Linked DNA regions of Drosophila melanogaster. The protein of the gene in region 1 interacts with the protein of each later gene in a pairwise test. Each region holds a gene or a part of one and is shown on either strand. Other genes may lie near its edges.

What was found. Proteins that work in one complex are often made in the same cells at the same time.
Region 2: the proteins of Crk (region 1) and CG6280 interact in a two-hybrid assay, tested with the Drosophila melanogaster proteins (one large-scale study listed by BioGRID).
Region 3: the proteins of Crk (region 1) and CG14655 interact in a two-hybrid assay, tested with the Drosophila melanogaster proteins (one large-scale study listed by BioGRID).

The regions. Positions count from the first base shown.
Region 1 is NC_004353.4:208,545-213,672, reverse strand, and holds Crk (Crk oncogene), read right to left. Parts: upstream 3,450-5,128; 5' UTR 3,311-3,449; exon of another isoform or gene 3,236-3,310; 5' UTR 3,219-3,235; coding exon 3,187-3,218; intron 3,116-3,186; coding exon 2,993-3,115; intron 2,084-2,992; coding exon 1,879-2,083; intron 1,820-1,878; coding exon 1,691-1,819; intron 1,559-1,690; coding exon of another isoform or gene 1,493-1,558; exon of another isoform or gene 1,399-1,492; intron 1,046-1,398; coding exon 944-1,045; intron 883-943; coding exon 658-882; 3' UTR 508-657; downstream 1-507. UniProt on the Drosophila melanogaster protein: Adapter protein which interacts with C-terminal portion of mbc, homolog of human DOCK180. May play a role in cellular processes throughout development.
Region 2 is NT_033778.4:13,751,999-13,759,497, reverse strand, and holds CG6280 (uncharacterized protein), read right to left. Parts: upstream 5,535-7,499; 5' UTR 5,229-5,534; intron 4,159-5,228; 5' UTR 4,155-4,158; coding exon 3,930-4,154; intron 3,875-3,929; coding exon 3,723-3,874; intron 3,602-3,722; coding exon 2,764-3,601; intron 2,708-2,763; coding exon 641-2,707; 3' UTR 527-640; downstream 1-526.
Region 3 is NT_033777.3:4,776,971-4,782,273, forward strand, and holds CG14655 (uncharacterized protein), read right to left. Parts: upstream 3,333-5,303; 5' UTR 3,105-3,332; coding exon 2,649-3,104; intron 2,150-2,648; coding exon 1,540-2,149; intron 1,370-1,539; coding exon 858-1,369; 3' UTR 527-857; downstream 1-526. Other genes in the region: atms (antimeros), read left to right, coding at 1-469; Ccdc39 (Coiled-coil domain containing protein 39), read right to left, coding at 4,301-4,995.

The DNA.
Region 1 (5,128 bases):
TCATATGATGCTGCAAAGTATATGTCATAGTTTTAATACTGCGTTGGTGATGCGTCGGTGATTAAGGATTCGACGTCAAATTAGTTTGGGCAGCTTGTAGAGTTGGTGCCTTAGAGGTAGGTTCTGTTAGCCTCGAATTATGGACGTTTGGAAATATCAAATTTTGGAAGGTGGTCGAAGGGCCAAATAAGGACCTCTTTGCGGGTGATAAAAAAACTTCTGGCGTTCTGGCGTTACTCGGAGATGTATCCGGCTTTTGGGGTCTTTGTATATTGAACAGCCTTTATATGGTCAGAAGCGCTTTCTTCCACCTGTTACATACTTTTCAACGAACCTATTGTAGTATTCCCTTTTACTCTACGAGTAACGGGTATAAAAAATATAAGGCCCAAAGGGTTTTCTGTAGCACCTACCGTTTAGTTACACAATTCATAAAAAAAACCAAATCGATTTTCAAATTCATAATTTTTTTGTATAAGAATCATACGAAAAAACGGTAAAAATTTTATTATGTCCTTCGTACCCGTTTATTTTTATTTTACTTAATAAGATTTTAATTTTCTGATTATGTTAACAATTGGTATGCACAACTTATTAATCATACAATTAGCTCAAAAATCAAAATTATCAAAAGAAATTCCTTCCATTCCTTCCTATTTAGCATATTTCTGTGGAGTTTTTGCTTAAATCACAATCATCGACAAATTCAACGTGCGTGAAGGGAAAATGACCATTTTTTCCATTTAATTCTCCCTCCCATTGCCCATTAATGTTTGTTTTAGTGACTTTAATAATGTCACCTATTTCCAATTTTAATGCAGTCTTATCGTATGCGTTAGGGACCCTTGACTGTTTTACGCGGGCGTATGCAGGTAGTTTTCGCTTCGATAAATTAAAATGTAAAACATTATTTTTTTTTTAAATACTTTTTTGGAACACTTACATTTAAATCTGTCCTTTTAAGAGTACTTTCAAATACATTGCTAGATCCCGAAATGGAAGGTTCGTTTTTATCAATAGCATCTTCATCCATATAATCGTCATACTGAAAAGAACAAATTTGAAAATGATTTAACTTTTAAAAATCAATGCCTTTAACAAACTTATTTATCAAAGGTCGTTCGCAATTTGGCCTTCTCTATTTAAGCGGACGAATATATTGAAGGCAATGGAGCTTGTCCATTGTCAGTTTAATTCAATGCAAATGGTTTTTGTAATGGATTTTATAATGTATTGAGATTGTAGTCAGACTTTAAAGAATCTAATCGCAACAATTTAAGGGTATTATTACATGAACTCAATAATTATTTCTGAACAAGTTTCTCGGCTATCAGATACCCGCTAGTCATAAAATAGGCGTGGGGAAAAGAGCTCAATTTACATTTTTTACATACATACATATATTTTTACATATTTACTTCTGGCGACTCTTTGACATTATTGACCCTTATACGTCTCACTAGTTTTCGGGTTTCTTTCTGATTTTACATTATTAATATCCTAGCGTTAGTGTCGCCGTATCGAAAGTTTTATTTGCATTCCATAAAAATTGACGCGACTGGTTTTACCGAATTCACCATTCATTTCAAGTGTAGTATTTTAACATCAGCGTTATAAGGAAACAAAGAAATTAAAAACGGGTTACCCGTTACAAAAAAGGATAACAAATCCAAATATTTGCTTAACGCACCTGTTGTATATAGGGAACCGGTATTTGACCAATTTTCCCCGAGGAGTTACGCGCAGTCCACCATTGATCCTCGTCTTTTCGAACTATTGTTAAAACTTCACCTCTTTGAAAAGGTAAATCATCTTGATCCTTTGATAAATAAGAAAATTAAATTACTTACAAAAATGAATAATTGTGTAAATGCTCACGCTGCCAACGAAATCGAACTTTCCTATTACTTTTTCCACCCTTCTACACGCAGGCCGTTTTAAAGGGGTTGTATCCAAATAATGAAGAGTGTAAAAAGTTAAGAGTTTCGGTAGATTGTCAAAAGACTGATCCCCAATGCGGTAAACGATTTGATCCTGTTGTTGAACTTTGTTAATGATGTAGTTGCTAACTTTTGTATCTTCTCTAAATAATAAAAATCTTTATAAGTAAACAATTCTTTTATAACAGGCGCAAAATCCTTAAAAACTAAACAAAAATTTGTTTCAAGTTTAAATATGAAAACCTATTTTTAATATTCTAATGTATATACATTTATATTAATAAAGAACTTTTAAAATCAAAAAGAATATTCTTGAGACGTTTATTCATCTAATTCTTTAATAAATGCCGCGTGGCGAGACATACAGTAGAAATTGAGTTCCTTTAATTCGTAATTATTTTTGTTTACGTCGTTAAATTCTTCAATTTATTTACCCCGTCAATACATGGCGCACATATTAAAAACATACTAAATTGCAATGGCTATGAGAGATCATCATTGACATTTTATCATCGTCCTTAAAGGTACATTCCATACTAAATTAAAGAAATACAAAATTGACCATAGACCCTTGCCATTGGATCTAAATATCAAACAAAACAAGAGAGAACCCGTTACTCAGCTAGTTGAATGGGAAAGAGAAATTTCAAAAATTTTCTGGGAAAGAAATAATAAAACAAACACAATTTTTAAGGTTTCCCAAAACTGAAACACACAAAATTGATAAAAATTTTTAGATTTCTCTTTCTTATTACTTTTTTCACCCAGGTCTATTAAAAAGAATATCCTTTTTTAATGTAAGAAATTTGTTTATATTTAAAAATTACAGATAAATGTTTAAAGTACATCTATAAAACACGTATACATGCTTAAAATGGAAACAGGAATTTCTATATAAACCTTTATGGTAAGCTGCGATTAAGAAAGGCTGACATTAAGTATTTCTCACTATACACAATTTTTAGTTTAATTTTTAAAATAAAAATTAGCTAACAGAAATGAAACGATAAGTACACAATCAAAGTCTGAATGTATTAATTTTGTTTACTTACCTTACACAAAGTACATAATCCCCTGCTATCGAGTTACTATCACGGACTAAAAACACTCCCCGCTCGCGTTCGTTCATCAAAACTTCAGTAGCATCCTGTCTAGACATGGGACCAAAGTACCAGCTTTAAGAACACATTTTGATGTTAAAACAATTGATAGTTTTTGGTTTAATCTTCACTTGATCTTAAATTACCTGTTCCTATCAGAAACGTCAAATGTATCCATTTCCGTTTAAGGTTTATCTTAGACAAATTACAACAAATTCCGTCCAGATTAAATAAATAGAAATTATGTGATATAATGCAAATATAGCATACAGCCTATTATATACCAGAATTCTTCAGTGATTTCATTTTCGAATTTCTGGCCTTAAAACATTTGCCTTTTATATGTGTATCTGGCTGGGCCACACATAGAAACACTATCGATAATGTTTGATCGATTATTTCCACTTGGAAGTTTTATGCCAATATTGTACCGTAGAACCGTAATGCGGCACTTGCACAGGGCACATTCGATTGAAAAGAACTCCTTCGAGCAACTGCTCTGTGGTGGTAAACCCCTTTAGGACGTACTGTCAGCTTTTAAAATCTAAATGTAAAACCGTGATCAATGCATATCAATTTGATATTCTAATTTTTAAGTAAAACCGATATATTTGTTCTTCTGTTCAATTCAAGGATATTTACAGGAATATTAGGAATACGAATATATCTGGTTGACATGTTATTTTGACTCCACAACTGATCAGCTGTCAATCGTAGAAAATCCGCATATGTTGCTAAGATCGGCAGCTAAATAAGATTTGGAGCAATCCGATCAATCCGCTGTGGAGGGAGCCCACCCTGGGATTGCTAAAGATTCCGAATTGTCTGCACTGGTTTCTTAACCAGTGATTCTACCTGTCCCGATTAGTTTACCACCACAAGGGAACATTGAGTCCGGACTCCCGGCACAAGTTGGCACTTCAGAAATACAATCTGCAGGGCCAAAACCACTCGCGGTGATTCCACTTAAGAAACAAACTTTCGTTTCTCGGTTTTCACCTGATCAAAAATCATCTGATGTATGGTCTTATATGCAAGACAAAACAAAAGTCGATAATATAAAAGTAATATAAAAGTGGAAAAATTTAACTTATCTTACGCTATGGACATAAGATATATAAGATTTTGAAGCTAGGATCAAAAATAGGAAAAAGGGGCCCGTGGGAAATAAACTTTCCTCACATGGCCAGACCACTGCACCATCCGCCTCTTCATCTTCTTCAAAAAACTGACAACGAATCTTTGTCCGAATCTTTTTCCTATCAAAATGCTAGAGGTTTGCGTAGCATACTAATCAAATTATATTGTAATAGCCATTCCTTTGCATGCTCAAGATATGACCAAAGCAAAGACACTAGAATAATTCTAGTGTCTATGATATGACTTTTGCAATAAACAGTTTACATATTTTTTTTATTTTTATATATTTTTGTTTTCTACTTCGTATTATTTTTATGAAATATTTATTTCTCAATGTAATGTCTTCTTTTTGGAAAATGTATGTTTTAAATTAAAGTTGTTATAATAATTTCCGTATATATTTAGTATATTTCTCAAGTCATTTGACTTAATATGATGTATGTAAAATTTTTGTTATTTAAAATGCACATTAGATTTAGTTGTTTTTCAGTTCCAGTTTTTTTTTTTTTTTTTTTTTTTGTTATATTTCAATTTGATATTTTTAACAGCGCGCAATTTCATCAAATATGTAAACTCGTTTCTTCGGTCAGAATTGATTTCGGCCCGAAATCGTCTTCTAGAACAACACGCACACATATACGCGTTCTCGTCTCTTGTTTTTACTTACTCAAGCAAGCAAGTTCTATTTTAAGATTTCTTACGCTCTCAGCGTAAGCTAGCGGACAGAGAGCAATTTTGGCCGTCACCAAAAAAGTGGCTGCATAGTGCCAAACCAAAGACACTAGAATAACAAGATGCGTAACGGCCATACATTGGTTTGGCACTATGCAGCCACTTTTTTGGTGACGGCCAAAATTACTCTCTTTCGGCTCACTCCCGCTGAGAGCGTAAGAAATCTAAAAATATAATTTGCTTGCTTGTGTGAGTAAAAACAAGAGACGAGAACGC
Region 2 (7,499 bases), on another chromosome or scaffold:
ATATTCGTATCTCCTAATATCTGCTGGGCGCTACATGTGTTGTAAATTTATGAGCTGTCATATAAATCTTTGCACTTGGGCACCCTTATGCGATACGTGTGTGCCCCGAATTGGAGGGGCGTGGCGCCTGTTTGAGGGCTGATAAGAAATGTGGGATACTGGAGGAACCCTTTTACGCTCACAAATGGGGGCATTTTTCATTTGCATGCATGGTTACTTGAGGAAATTCATAATTTTTATGCCAGTCCTAGGCCCATCTAATTGGGTACAGAGACTTAGTTGCCAGGGTTGTCACTCTCATTTGTTTAATTAATATTGCCACCGAGCTAAGCATTTGCTTGCCGACTGCCACATGTGCACTTTTCTTTGGGGCTTGTCAGCAATTTGCAAAGTGCTGGTCTGAGATTTTTCCACTTTACAAATCCAAGAAGTCGCACCTTACAACAAAAGTTTAAATGAATATGTGAAGCTTATATATAATTTAGCCATTTCATAGATACCTTGAATGTCTTCTATAATGTTTTGTAAAGTTAATATAATTTTATTAAATGCTTTGCTTTAAATACATTATATAAATAGATAATATTTACTATAACATTATATTTTGGCACGCTTTTTCTCCGCTCTACCAGCTTCAATTTCACTGGGTCTCCGATTGTTCGGCTTGCTTGAGGGGATTGCCCTTGTCGTCGATCTCCATGGACGGCACCAAAGGGGGCTTAAATCCATACTCCAGCTGAAGATTGCGCCCGAAGTCGGGACTGCGCTTCAGGGAGTGTCCGTTGCGCCATCGCTGGAACTCATCGAACTCGCTGGTGAGCGGGGAATCCCCAACGTCTGAGTTCGCAGATGTTGGAGCTGGAACGACGCCAATGTAGGACTTAACCATTTTGGTGGGAGTCGAGGCGGCGGCGGTGGCCAAATCGGCGGGAAGGGTATTATAGATATATCGGGATCCCTGCAACCAAGGTGAGCCCTGTGGCGGCGGTGGAGGTCGAAGGTCGAATTTCATGTCAGCCAAACTGAAGGTGGCGACCTTGGGCGCCTCTCCCCTCACGGGTTTCACTGGTTGCTTGATGGCCGCCACCGGCTTGCTCAACTTGACCGCTTTGGGAGATTGGGGGATAGGGGTTTTGGCGGTGAGCTGTGGCAGCAACTTCTTCAGCATCCGTGTGTAATAGTTTTGCAACACTTTCGGTGGAATGTGGGCAACGGAGTGGGTCCAGGGCGTTAGGGAATTGGGGTGGGAGTAGTGGGGAAATGACAGCGAGGAGTGTCCCGGCGGCATGGGCATGTGAATGGCCACGGGGACATGTATCGGAATCGCCATCGGTCGGTCCACAAACTTTTCCACAATCTTCTCCACATGCACGGGCTTCTCCACAATGCGCTCCACCTCAACGGGCACATGCTTCTCGACGATTTTCTCCACCACCCTCTCCACGGGATATGGAACGGGATGTTCGACAATGGTCTCCACTGGGTACGGACGATCCACGTAGTGCTCCACGTGGACAGGCACGGGCACAGGTTGTGGAACGGCATATGGTATGGGTATGTGCTTCTCCACCACCTGTTTGACATGATGATCGTGGTCTTTAAGTTTTTCCACGTGATATGGCTGCAGTGAGGGATGCTCATGATGCTCCAGGTGATCTTGATGCAAGTGAGGCTCATGCTCTGGCTGAGGCTCATGATGGATTATGTGATGATCTTGATGAATCTGATGTATCTGGGGCTCCGGGTGTTGCTCTGGTTGCGTATACACTGGACCTGGGTGAACCGTTTGTTCACTATGACCTGGAGCTGTGAGTCCGGAATGATTTGTATCCAAATGGACGGAGGCATGCGAGACGGCCACTTCCTGGGGCGTACTATCGTATTCCACGTGAATAGGATTTTTAGCCAGAGATGCGTAACTCTTGGAAGGATCAGGTGCCTGCGAAAGGTGATTCTGCGGATATGGCTGGGGGTAAATGGTCTCGTGCTGCTCCACCAATCGGCCATCCTTCTCCGTGATTAGCTTGTTGTGGATGTTCACAGACTTCTGAACCTCCACAAAGGTGTATGGAGTGGACTTCTTTGGAGCTGGAGCTGGAGCATGTTGGATGATGGTCTGGGAGGGCTCGGCATGAGCCTCGGCAACGTAGTTATGGGGAGCCGGGTGATTCACTGTGATCTGGACTCCTGGCTCAAATGGCGTATGCGCAATGGATGGTGCCGCCGAGGAGTGGGGTGGACTTGGAGTGTTCAAGGTCACAAACACCAGACTATTTGGAGTGGCGGAAACGGGTGTGGGACCTGCATAGCCAGAATATTGCTGGACATCCGGCGCAGGCGACGATATGGCCTTGGTGTGCAGCAACTCCGACTGCTGCTGCGGCTTGCTCTGCTCTTGTGGTATCACCTGGCTAAGCTCCTGTTGATAGGCCAACTGGGCAGCAGGTTTCACAAATTGGCCGGCGTAGTCTCCTTCCTTCGGCGTCCGTGGATTCGGGCGCTGTGGAGGATTCTGCACCTCGTAGTGGAAACTGCCCTTCGGGAGGGGTCCGTCGCCACTTCCGGAGACAATGGGATTGAAGCTCTTGAGGAATTGCCGTGATGGTGCCTCTTGACTGGGATGATGCTGCTGGAATCTCTGCTCACTGTGCGCCTGGAAGTGATCCAAGGCCTGCTGCGCAGGCTGCGACTGGGACTCCTTGGGTGTCTGAAAATATGTGTAATATGTGTATTATCATTTCGGATTCTCCAATGCCATCCTACCTTTGCCTCTGCCTGCTGAGGTTTTCCCTGTGGTCCGTCGTGTACGATGTGCACATTGATCTCCTGATCCTGACCGGGACCCTTTTGGTTGGCATAACTCTCGATGCCATTGAAATTTGGAACTGGAACTCGCTGCTGGTAGGCCTCCCGGCCCACGTGGCGTGTCTCCGCAATCTGGTTGTCATTGATCTCCTGCCCCTCTTCCAGGTCCGGATCGTGTTCGCCCAGGATCACAATTGGAGAACTTTCTGCTGCCACTAGAGTCTCGTTGTCATCGCCCTCCGGTTGGAGCAGCACACTGGGCAGCACTGGAGCCGCCACAGCAGCTCGATTGATCCTAAGCAGCTCATCTCGGGAAATGTGGTTACTGCCATCTCGGAATCCCGGATCCCTAATCTGCTCAACCACTATCTCCGTGTGACCTGGTCCCAATTCTCGACGGTATTCCTTCGTCACTGTGGTTTGGTAACTGTAGTAGGTGGCATTCGGCGCTGGAGGCTTCGTTTGCTTTTCAGTGCTGGCTGCCTCTGTGGTACTGACCACATCCACAACTGTTGGCCGGACCACCGCCTTATTCGTGGTCGTAGACGTGGTGGTGGATGTATCTGTATTGCCACTAAATCGGAAAATGTCCGAGAATCCCTTGGGGAACAGATTGGACAGCACCTCGTTCACGGTTTCCGTTCGCGAGCGGGTCACTGTCTGCTCAATGGGTCTTTGTCGACGAGCCACTTCCACTGGCAGCTCATCGTTGATCTCGAACTGGATGTAACCATGTCCATTGGTGGGACTGTCTGAATCTTTGGGAGGCAGAGCAGTGGGCAGAAAGCCTGGAACACTGTAGAAAATAACCCTCTTGTTATTTATAATTATTTGCATATTTAAGTTGAAAGACAGCAAAACTATCTTTAAGATTTTTGATGAAGCCTTTTCATTTTTCCTTTTGACTGTTGACTTACCCGACGAACTCCGTTTCGGTTTCTGTTTCTATAGGATCTTCCCCTTCCCGTTTGAGTTCCCTCTCCAGATCCGGATCCACGCGCACTTCGTCGGCCAAGTTTGGACCTTCGATGACCTCGCGGATGAGTTGCTCGGCTGGCTGCTTATTAAGCTGTCAAAAGCGACGCTCATTGCCTGTCAAAATCTTTCACTAAACTCGGACTTACCTCCTTGCCGCTGCTGTCACTCAGGGCTTCAGTGGCCGCTGCCTCCACCGTCAAATTCTGGGGGAGATCGCCAGGGGCCGAGACTGCTGCTGAGGATGGTGGTGTTGATGAGGATGTAAGGATGGGGGGCTCATCCGAAAGGGCCGGCTGGACGATGATGGCCAAGAGACAGCAGAGCGTGGCTGCCGCCGTTAGCAGATGTCGTTGGTGGCGGTGGGGCCACATGGAGCTATTACGGAAATGGCCAAAAGCAGAAAGAGTTAGCTGGAAGTTGTTGGGCTTTTTGGCGTGCGAATAGTGGTATCGATGCTGGTGGTGGTGGTGGTGGTGGTGGTGTGAATAACCCCGGCGACCACGACAAATTCCAAGCGACAAATGGAGGAGTCGTCAAGCCTGTTTGGGCCCGCTCCAAAGGCCATCCAATAGCCTCCACTTGAAACCAAGCCACTCGAATCCACTGCACTCCACTCCACTCCTGACTACTATGGCCACTCACTTGTCGGGCTGTTTGATTTTAACCGATACGTCGCTGGATGATGATTTTTCCTAAGTGGCTGCCAAGGCAGGCACTTTGGCGCTTCTCTTTCTCCTTTGCTTTAAAAGAGATTTTCCCTAAAACGTTTGTCGTTTTTCCTGCCAAGTTGTTGAACTTGGCGCTGCGTTTGCGCTTGGGGCTTATGTCATTGCTACTGGCAACGTAATGAATTATTAATTAACCCCCCCCCCCCAAAAAACTCCATTGAACCCCTTCTCCCCCTGCCCGCTGCAACAACGCATTTAATTTGGAAAATTGAAATTGATGGCGTTTAAAATGGTTCGTACGGGTTTTCACATAGTTTGGCCACTGCGCCTGTATTTTGATAGGCATTAAATATGCATGCCAAAACATATTTCACCTGCAATATTCATGGCTAAGTGGCCCGTGGCGCTTTGCAGCCGGTCTTGCAGACTATCTTGTTGGCCAAATAACACAAGAAAGTGGAGCTTTCAGTAGGGAAATTGTGGCTTTAATTGGGCATGGATAACGATCTGAACGGAGCTATTAAACGGGAGGCATTTCATATGCATATGTCCTAAGTCCTTTCGATTGGCAATAAATATAAGGCACCTTTGATGATGGTGCTGCCTTCACTGAATATATCCATACAAGTCCTTTGCGTTAAATCACAAGCAAATTGCATTCGTTACTAACTCAATTTGCACATTGAAATTATTCTTGCTTTACGCCCGCAGAGGAAATGCATTATAATTTGCGCAGCTAAATGGGCATTTAAAATATATTCCGCTTTTTGCATTTACCTGCATCCATTAAATACTGCGCGATGGAATTTATTTATTCGTGTTTTGTCGTAGAATTTGTATGCGGCCAGGCCAAATGAAATGAAAACACTCAATTATTTATATTGATTGCCGCACAATTAAAACGCACTTATAATCACTTTTCTATTCGATTAAAACAATTGTAATTCGCCGCCGAGCTCGTCTGCAATGGCACAAAAGTGTATTTCTCTTCTTATTATTATTTTATTTTCGTTTTTTTTTTTTGGCGGGGAAATCGAACTCGATGCAATATCGGTTTTCAGGTGCTCTTTTCGTGCGACCCTGCCAGTTGCGCGTGCGCGTTGCGAATGAAAGTGAAACCGTGGGGCACTGAGCATTTCGTTTTCTTTTCATCGTCGTGGGCTGCTGCAAGTTGCTGTCGTCGCCGATGTTGTTGCTTCTGCTGCTGCGACTGATTTTGCTGCTGCTGCTGCGACTGATGTTGCTGCTGCGATCCTTAAAGTGTAGCACAAAACTTGTCCATCCAGCGATTGCGCAAGCGACGCTGTCTTTTTTGCTCCTTCACGTCAATGACAATTTGGTTTTTATGGCTTTCTACGACGGCAGCATTGACCCTGCCGAAAAATATATACAAAAAAAAAACAAAAACCAAAGAAAAAATGCAAAACTGGTAAGAGCGCGGGAAAACTTTTGAAACTGGTTTTCGGCCTGGCAAATGCCAGAAAGGCATGTGGCTAAATCCGCTATGAAAGCCCTTGTCGTGGCCTAAACGCCCTTTGCCACTTGTTTTTTGGCTCGTTGACATAAATATCTTGCCGCATTTCCTTGCCCCATAAACACCTGCAGCGCAATTATCGCATTCAGTTTACACACCTGTCGGTTCGATCACCTTACGAACGCATTGTTTTCATACGCTTTTCCTCCGATTTTCCACCGGAGTGTTTTCATTAATTTTTAATGAGTTGCCGTTGTTGCTGTGGAGCGTTTGACGTTTTTGGCTGATTGATTAATGTGAATGCGGTTTTGCGTGCGGCGGCACAGCGGTGGACTTGTTTTTTTATTTCTGTCTGATTTATTAAAATGCGTCTTTTTTATTAATGCTTTGGTAATTCATTTTATTTATTGCATATTTAATGCTATCGTTTTTCTTTTGTTTTTTGTTTTGTTGTGCGCGCTTTGAAGATATTTTTATTTTTTATGACAAAATTATGTGAGTCGAGGAATTGCATGAATTTAAATGGTCATTTGAACAGATCATTTAATTTTCGAATGGCAACCATTGCAGCAACTTTTCAATTCCGAGTATTACATCAGTTTAGTATAAATTTAATTTACCAATTTATTGATTTGTCATGCAACAAAAATGTTTGCTATTTTAATTAAAATGCTTTATTTATACCTATTTCAGGCAGCATTACTTTTTTATTTTGTAGTTGGCAAGATAACTACCAAAACAAATGTGGGGGAAAGTGGGCGTTCTGGCAGAGCTAATGCCTCCATTACCCGAACATATAGATCCAACGATCATTTTTAGTGTGATTTATGCCATCCGTAATCGGTAAGCTTCTTTATCTGCGTGCATCTCATTAAAGACATGTTGCATGCCCCATGTACACACAACTGACTTTCACCCATGAGGCTGGTGTGGAGAACTGGAAACTGTAACTTGTAGCCGAGATCACCATTTCGGTTGGCATTTCCTCCGGCCTTTTCCGCACCAAATCGCACCAAACCCCAACGACAATTATGATGAAAAGCCAGGGGGGGGGGAGGGGTTGATTGCATAAGCCAAGCAAGTGCGGGAAAATGCGAACCATAAATTGCCGTGACCAGCAACTACTGACTTGGCTAATTTTTGCCGGATCAGCATTTCGGTAAAATTGTAACAGAAGTCACCTGGAGTCGATTTCCTTCCGCCCAAGAAAAACTGGTCGCACTGCAACAGCACTGGAAAATCAACGAAATCTCTGAAATGCCTTGTGACCGCAAACGAAATGGGACAATAAAATCATGTTGAAAAAAAAAGAAGGAAATCGCTGAAATGGCGGAAAAATCTATTAAAAGCAATTCGCTTAATTTCGTTACCGGACCGGCATTGCTCATATTTACTTATTGTACTTCCCCTCAAACCCTCAAAAAGCCCAGTCGGCCGGAAAAGTCGGTGGGATGGAGGTGAATGGGGGGGCGTGGCAGTCGGCTAATTAAGTGCGCAGGGCAAATGAAATATATGTATGTAGGAGAGGAAAAAAGGTAATTACAATCAATGGGGAGTAGAGTCCGGTCTTCATC
Region 3 (5,303 bases), on another chromosome or scaffold:
GGAAGAGGAGCAAATGCAAATCATTGGCGAGACGGAGAAGACGAGCGAGGACGCAGCTGTTGGCGCACAGGCAGCATCTGGAGCGGACTCACCCGCCCAGGTAGCCCGCGATCGACAGTCTCGTTCTCGGAGTCGAACTCGCAGCGGGTCCAGTTCAGGATCTGGATCTGGCTCCGGCTCTCGGGCCAGCAGCCGCTCAAAGTCTGGTTCTCGGTCTGGTAGCGGCTCCAGATCACGCACAAATTCGCCGGCAGGATCCCAGAAATCCGGATCCAGATCGAGATCGGTATCACGTTCCCGATCCCGTTCCAAGTCCGGCTCTCGGTCGCGTTCTAGGTCGAGATCCAAGTCCGGTTCCCGATCACGTTCGGGCTCCAGATCTGGCTCTGGGTCGCGATCGCCCAGCCGGTCTCGCAGTGGCTCGCCTTCTGGTTCAGGATCCAGCTCTGGAAGCGCCTCAGATGAATGATTAATTACAAAAAACGGCGTTCATAATAAATAAGTTTATAATCAACCAAGTACATTTGAAAACTGAACTAACTCGATTTAATATCATTTTCGCCTCAACTCAGCGCTCGGGTTCGTTGCCCAGAATAGTTTTAAATAAAATCGGCAGTTTAACATAATTTATATTAGATGTTGTTGTTGTATTGCAAACAAGTCGGGTCCTAGTCGATTTACACTTGGCTGAGATAAAACAACTAAGATTCAAATAATATCCTCATAAGAAGATGTAATTAAGACGTTTTTCTTAGGGGGTGCTTAGGAATTGATTAGATCGCCTTTGGGGAAGTGCAAACAATGTAAAATGATATAAAAGGGTATAAATTAAGTGGATATATGCATCTTCGTTCCAACTACGTGGCGTCCATCAAAAAGCGCTGGAAGACTTCGCCATCGGAACTAGGTAGCTCTGTTTGTTGCGGTGAGTAGATTCTCAAGTTCTGGAGTTGCTGCAGCGGAGAGCCATTCCCGCTGAAGTGTACCACCGCAACCGGCTGTAGGGATATGAGCTGTCCCTCCTCCCGCGGCTCCACACCACAGATGCCCAGCTTTTGGCACTGCTCAACGACAATGTCGTCGATTGACTGCGAAAGCAGTGCCTCCTGCTCAGGATCCACAATGGAGCTGCTGTTGATGGCAGCTATTTCGGCGCTCGCTGGTGAAGGCTGAGTATGCGAGTCGTTGCCCTCCAGGAACGCCTTTATCAGCTGCTCCGGTGTCTGGGCCTCCTCGGTGGGACATCGATGGGTCCTTTGACTGACCTTGTACCTGAACGTCTTTTGGCAGAGCTCGCACTTGTAGGGCATCACTCCCGTGTGGATGCGCGTGTGGACAAGGAAAGAGACTCGCTGCCGGAAACACTTGCCTGTGGACGAGTCCGAAATACGAAAAGGTTAGACATGGAGTGACCCGGAAAAGAAGGTATACCTCTCCTTCATTTAAAGTAAATAGGGCAAATCGCAATGGAGTATGCTCATTTATAAGCTGGCTAACAAAATAAGGGGCGGCTAATTAAGGGGTTTGATCGATACTCACCGCAGACTTCGCACTTGAAGGGCTTTTCGCCGCTGTGAATCCTCTGGTGGTTATGCAGCGTAGACAGTTCCTTGAAGGCGCGTCCACAAACCCCGCAGACATGGGGCTTTACCTCGCTGTGGTAGAGCAAATGCTTGTGGTACGACTGCTGGAAGGTGAAGGTCCTGGCGCAGATCTCGCATGTGTACGGCATCTCGCCGGTGTGGAGCCGCTTGTGCTTCTTCAGAAAGTACTTGGTGGTGAAGGACTTGCTGCACACATCGCACTCCCACAGCTTCGGGGTGGCCGTGCCCGACTCCGGCGAACTGGGGGACTGCTGGAGCATGCTCAGCGCCCCACTCAGCGCGTATGGCTGGGATGCGGTGCACGTGGAGTTATTTCCGTTGCCAAGGGCTCCAGGCTCTGTGTGTCGAATGCGATCGCAAATGCTCAGCTTGGGCGTGGCAGTAACTGCACTGGTGGTAGAAGCGGGTGTAGGACTGGGATTAGGATTTGGATTGGGATTGGAGCAGGGCACGCCCATCATGTGCACTACTTTCAGGTGGATTCGAAGGGAGCCCTTCATTCGGAACGTCTTGGAGCAGAGATGGCACTTGTAGGGCTCCTGGTCCTGTATAAAGCAATAATCGGAATTTCACTTATATTTATCAATTCATCAATATGCCCTCATGGCCAAATATTCCATTACATTACCGTCTGTCTCTCAGTTTCAAATTTATGCACAAAAATCATTCACTTTCATTCACTATATCACAAAGTTGCCATGGTTTTAAATTGATCAAAAACAAATTAATATCTATCATATATATACATAGTCATATGAACAGTTGAAAAATTAATTGAAAATAATGGGAACGATATACGTACATACATCAGTTGTTTTTAAAATATAAGGGTATATAGATTTCTTTCTTGTTGTTGTTGATTTTAATTACGTCAAACTTTTGTTTCAGATTCAATGTAAATGGTCTAGCTTTTTAAGTATGATTTTTTTTTGCTGCCAGTGAGCATAGAAAAAAAAAATCAAAATCGATATAAGAATATGCGAAAGTGCATTACGAAACTCTTTAGATAATAGCACTTAATATATGTACATAGCCAATAGTTACCGGTTCCTTCTGTTGGGGTTCCTTTTGCTTGGGTTCTCCCTCCGCATTTTCGTGGACTAAGCGGACGTGCATGTCCCTCAGCTCGGTATTCCGGAAACTGAACTCGCAAATGTCGCAGTGGGCGGGCGGGGTGGTCCGCACAGGCGGTGGGGTTGGGACGACGGGCTTGGACCTGGTTCGCTTGGCCCTCCGTTTGGGAGGAGCTGCGGCAAGGAAGCCCCGGGACGAGGCGGGTTGGCCATTCGCTGGACTCTCGTTTCCCTCCTGAGCCATCAGACTTGTGTGCGAGAACAGGTGGATGGTGAGCTTGTCCAGCCCCAGGAAGAGCTCCTTGCAGTTGGCAAAGGGACAGGCCAGTGGGCCGTTGGCCGCCTTGATCAGCCTCTGCTGCAGTGCGTCAATACTGCCGAAACTGGGCACCGCGCAGAGCGGACACAGCACCGAGGTGGAACACATTTCGCCAGTGCACTCAATCGAATCTTATGCAAATGCTTCACCTCCTATTGGGATTATCCTCCTGTTCGGTCTGTGATCATCTATTCAGGAGTCCATTCCCAGACTGCCTAGTCTTTCTGCTTTCAAAATTTTCTAAAAATATCAGCAAGTGAAGATTTTTGAAAACTTTGGGCCCAGCAATCTGACTTCTCGGCACCGATGCCAGCTAACGAAATAATGAAAAATAATGAAATGCCCGGCGCGGATCGTCGAATCGTCAAGAAGACTTTCGGAAACACTCGCAGCACCGAAATCCCATCTCTCGAACAAGGCAGTCTCTTTTCTCCGTGTCTCTGGGTAGCTCATTTCGAAATATAGCTCTGAGCACGGCTATATACTATATGTATGTAGAATTATTTCTGGCCGATATATGTTGCACTGGCGGCCATATAGCCTTCGTTCTAGTCTTTGTAACGCACGATGCGCAGGAGCAATTCGCTGAGATGACCACATGCGATTTGCGGGACTTATCTAGAGATCTATCATTATCGCCAGATTGGTTTAATAATTGGCTTTTCCGCCAATATCCAATTGGAATATGGTTGGTTACTGCAATTGTCGCTCCATTTTTTAAGCACTCCATAAAAAGTAAACACATTAATATGTACTCTTATTGGAGATTTCTTCTTTCGATTTTAGTTTCGGACCAGTGAAAATCATTCGTTTCATTTTCGTAAATAAGAACTGAGAAAATATTATTATTATATATATTTCTTTATTAGGAAAATACGAAGATTGAGTATTTCAGATTGAATTAGCATATCCGTCTAAATCTTAATGCTGTAATGAGCTTACTTGAGATCTGATCAAAACCAATACAAAACCCACACCAAAGGTGGTAGCTAATATACATATTTTGTGTAATACTTTTGTAGAGTATTTACTATTCAGCGATTTAAACAAGCAATCGCCTAGACACACACATTTGTCCGCCTATGTGTATGTGCACCGAGCTATACCCCCACTGAATCGCTGTGTGCTATTTTTATGGCCGCGATGCTCTCTTGTTTTGACCCGCTTGGGCAACGCATTTTATTCGCTGTTTCGTTTAGATGGTCAATTTGTAAACACTGCGATGCCAACACGTGAAGATACGAGCATACGGGTTGAGATCATCGGATATCGAACGGAATAATAAATAAATATATTTTAGACTATTATTTTTTCTTCGGCAAGGGCAACTCAAGCGATATGATGCTCAGTCCGGAGTGGGAGGTTGTGGAGGATGTGTCATCCTTAAGGGAGCTCATGTCGGAGACGGAGGACCGGGCACTAGCCCCGTCGCAGGAGAACTTCTTGCCCTTAACATTGAGGTAGGAGGCGGTGTCCTGACCCTGCGAGGACTTGCCCGAGGAGCTGCTGTTCCAGGACACGCGGCTGCACGTGCGCTTCAGGTGCATCGGCAACTTGATTCCTTTTCGCAAGAGGATTCCAATTATATCCGTGCCGCTCTCGTCGCTGTTCGCCAGATCGGTGATCATGTTCAGCGCCTTGGTGTTACGCGCCTCCAGCTCCTGTAGAGACAGATCCCGCTCGAACTGCGCCAGGTACTCCTCGCTAAAGGGCCGCGCCTTGATCTCCCGCAACTGTGTCCGGATCTCTCGATTGGCCCTGTCCAGCTTCATTCGCTGGTCATCTAGTTCGCGCTCGATCTTCTCCAGAACTGCAGAGTGCTCCGCCCGACTAGCCTTCGCCTTCTCTATTTTGGAAATCAGGTCTTCCTCCTCAGCTCGCTGGGCTGCGTGCTTCTGCTGGTAGTGCTGTGCCTTGCACCTGAGAACCTTCAGTTTTTCCAGCTCGCGGCAGTAGGCCGCCTCAAGTTCCTTCAGCTCCAGTTCGGCCCGCTCGCGATCTAGAAATTAGAAGTATGGAAAAAATCTACCAATTTAACATTGAATTACACAATTCTAAGCCACCCGGCTTGTAGACATGGCTAGAATATGACCGCTTAATGTGCTATTATAGTTACTGAAAGTCGGAACGGACGGACGGAAATGGCCAGATCGACTCAGGTATGGATCTTGATCAAGAATATCTATTCTTTATAGAGCCAGAAAACCTAATTTGTTCCTATTCAATATCTGTATCTGTGAGTGTTATTAAAATTCAAAATTAGAGCAATGTTGCTAATACTAGTAACCCTTTCCACTCTGAATGGTC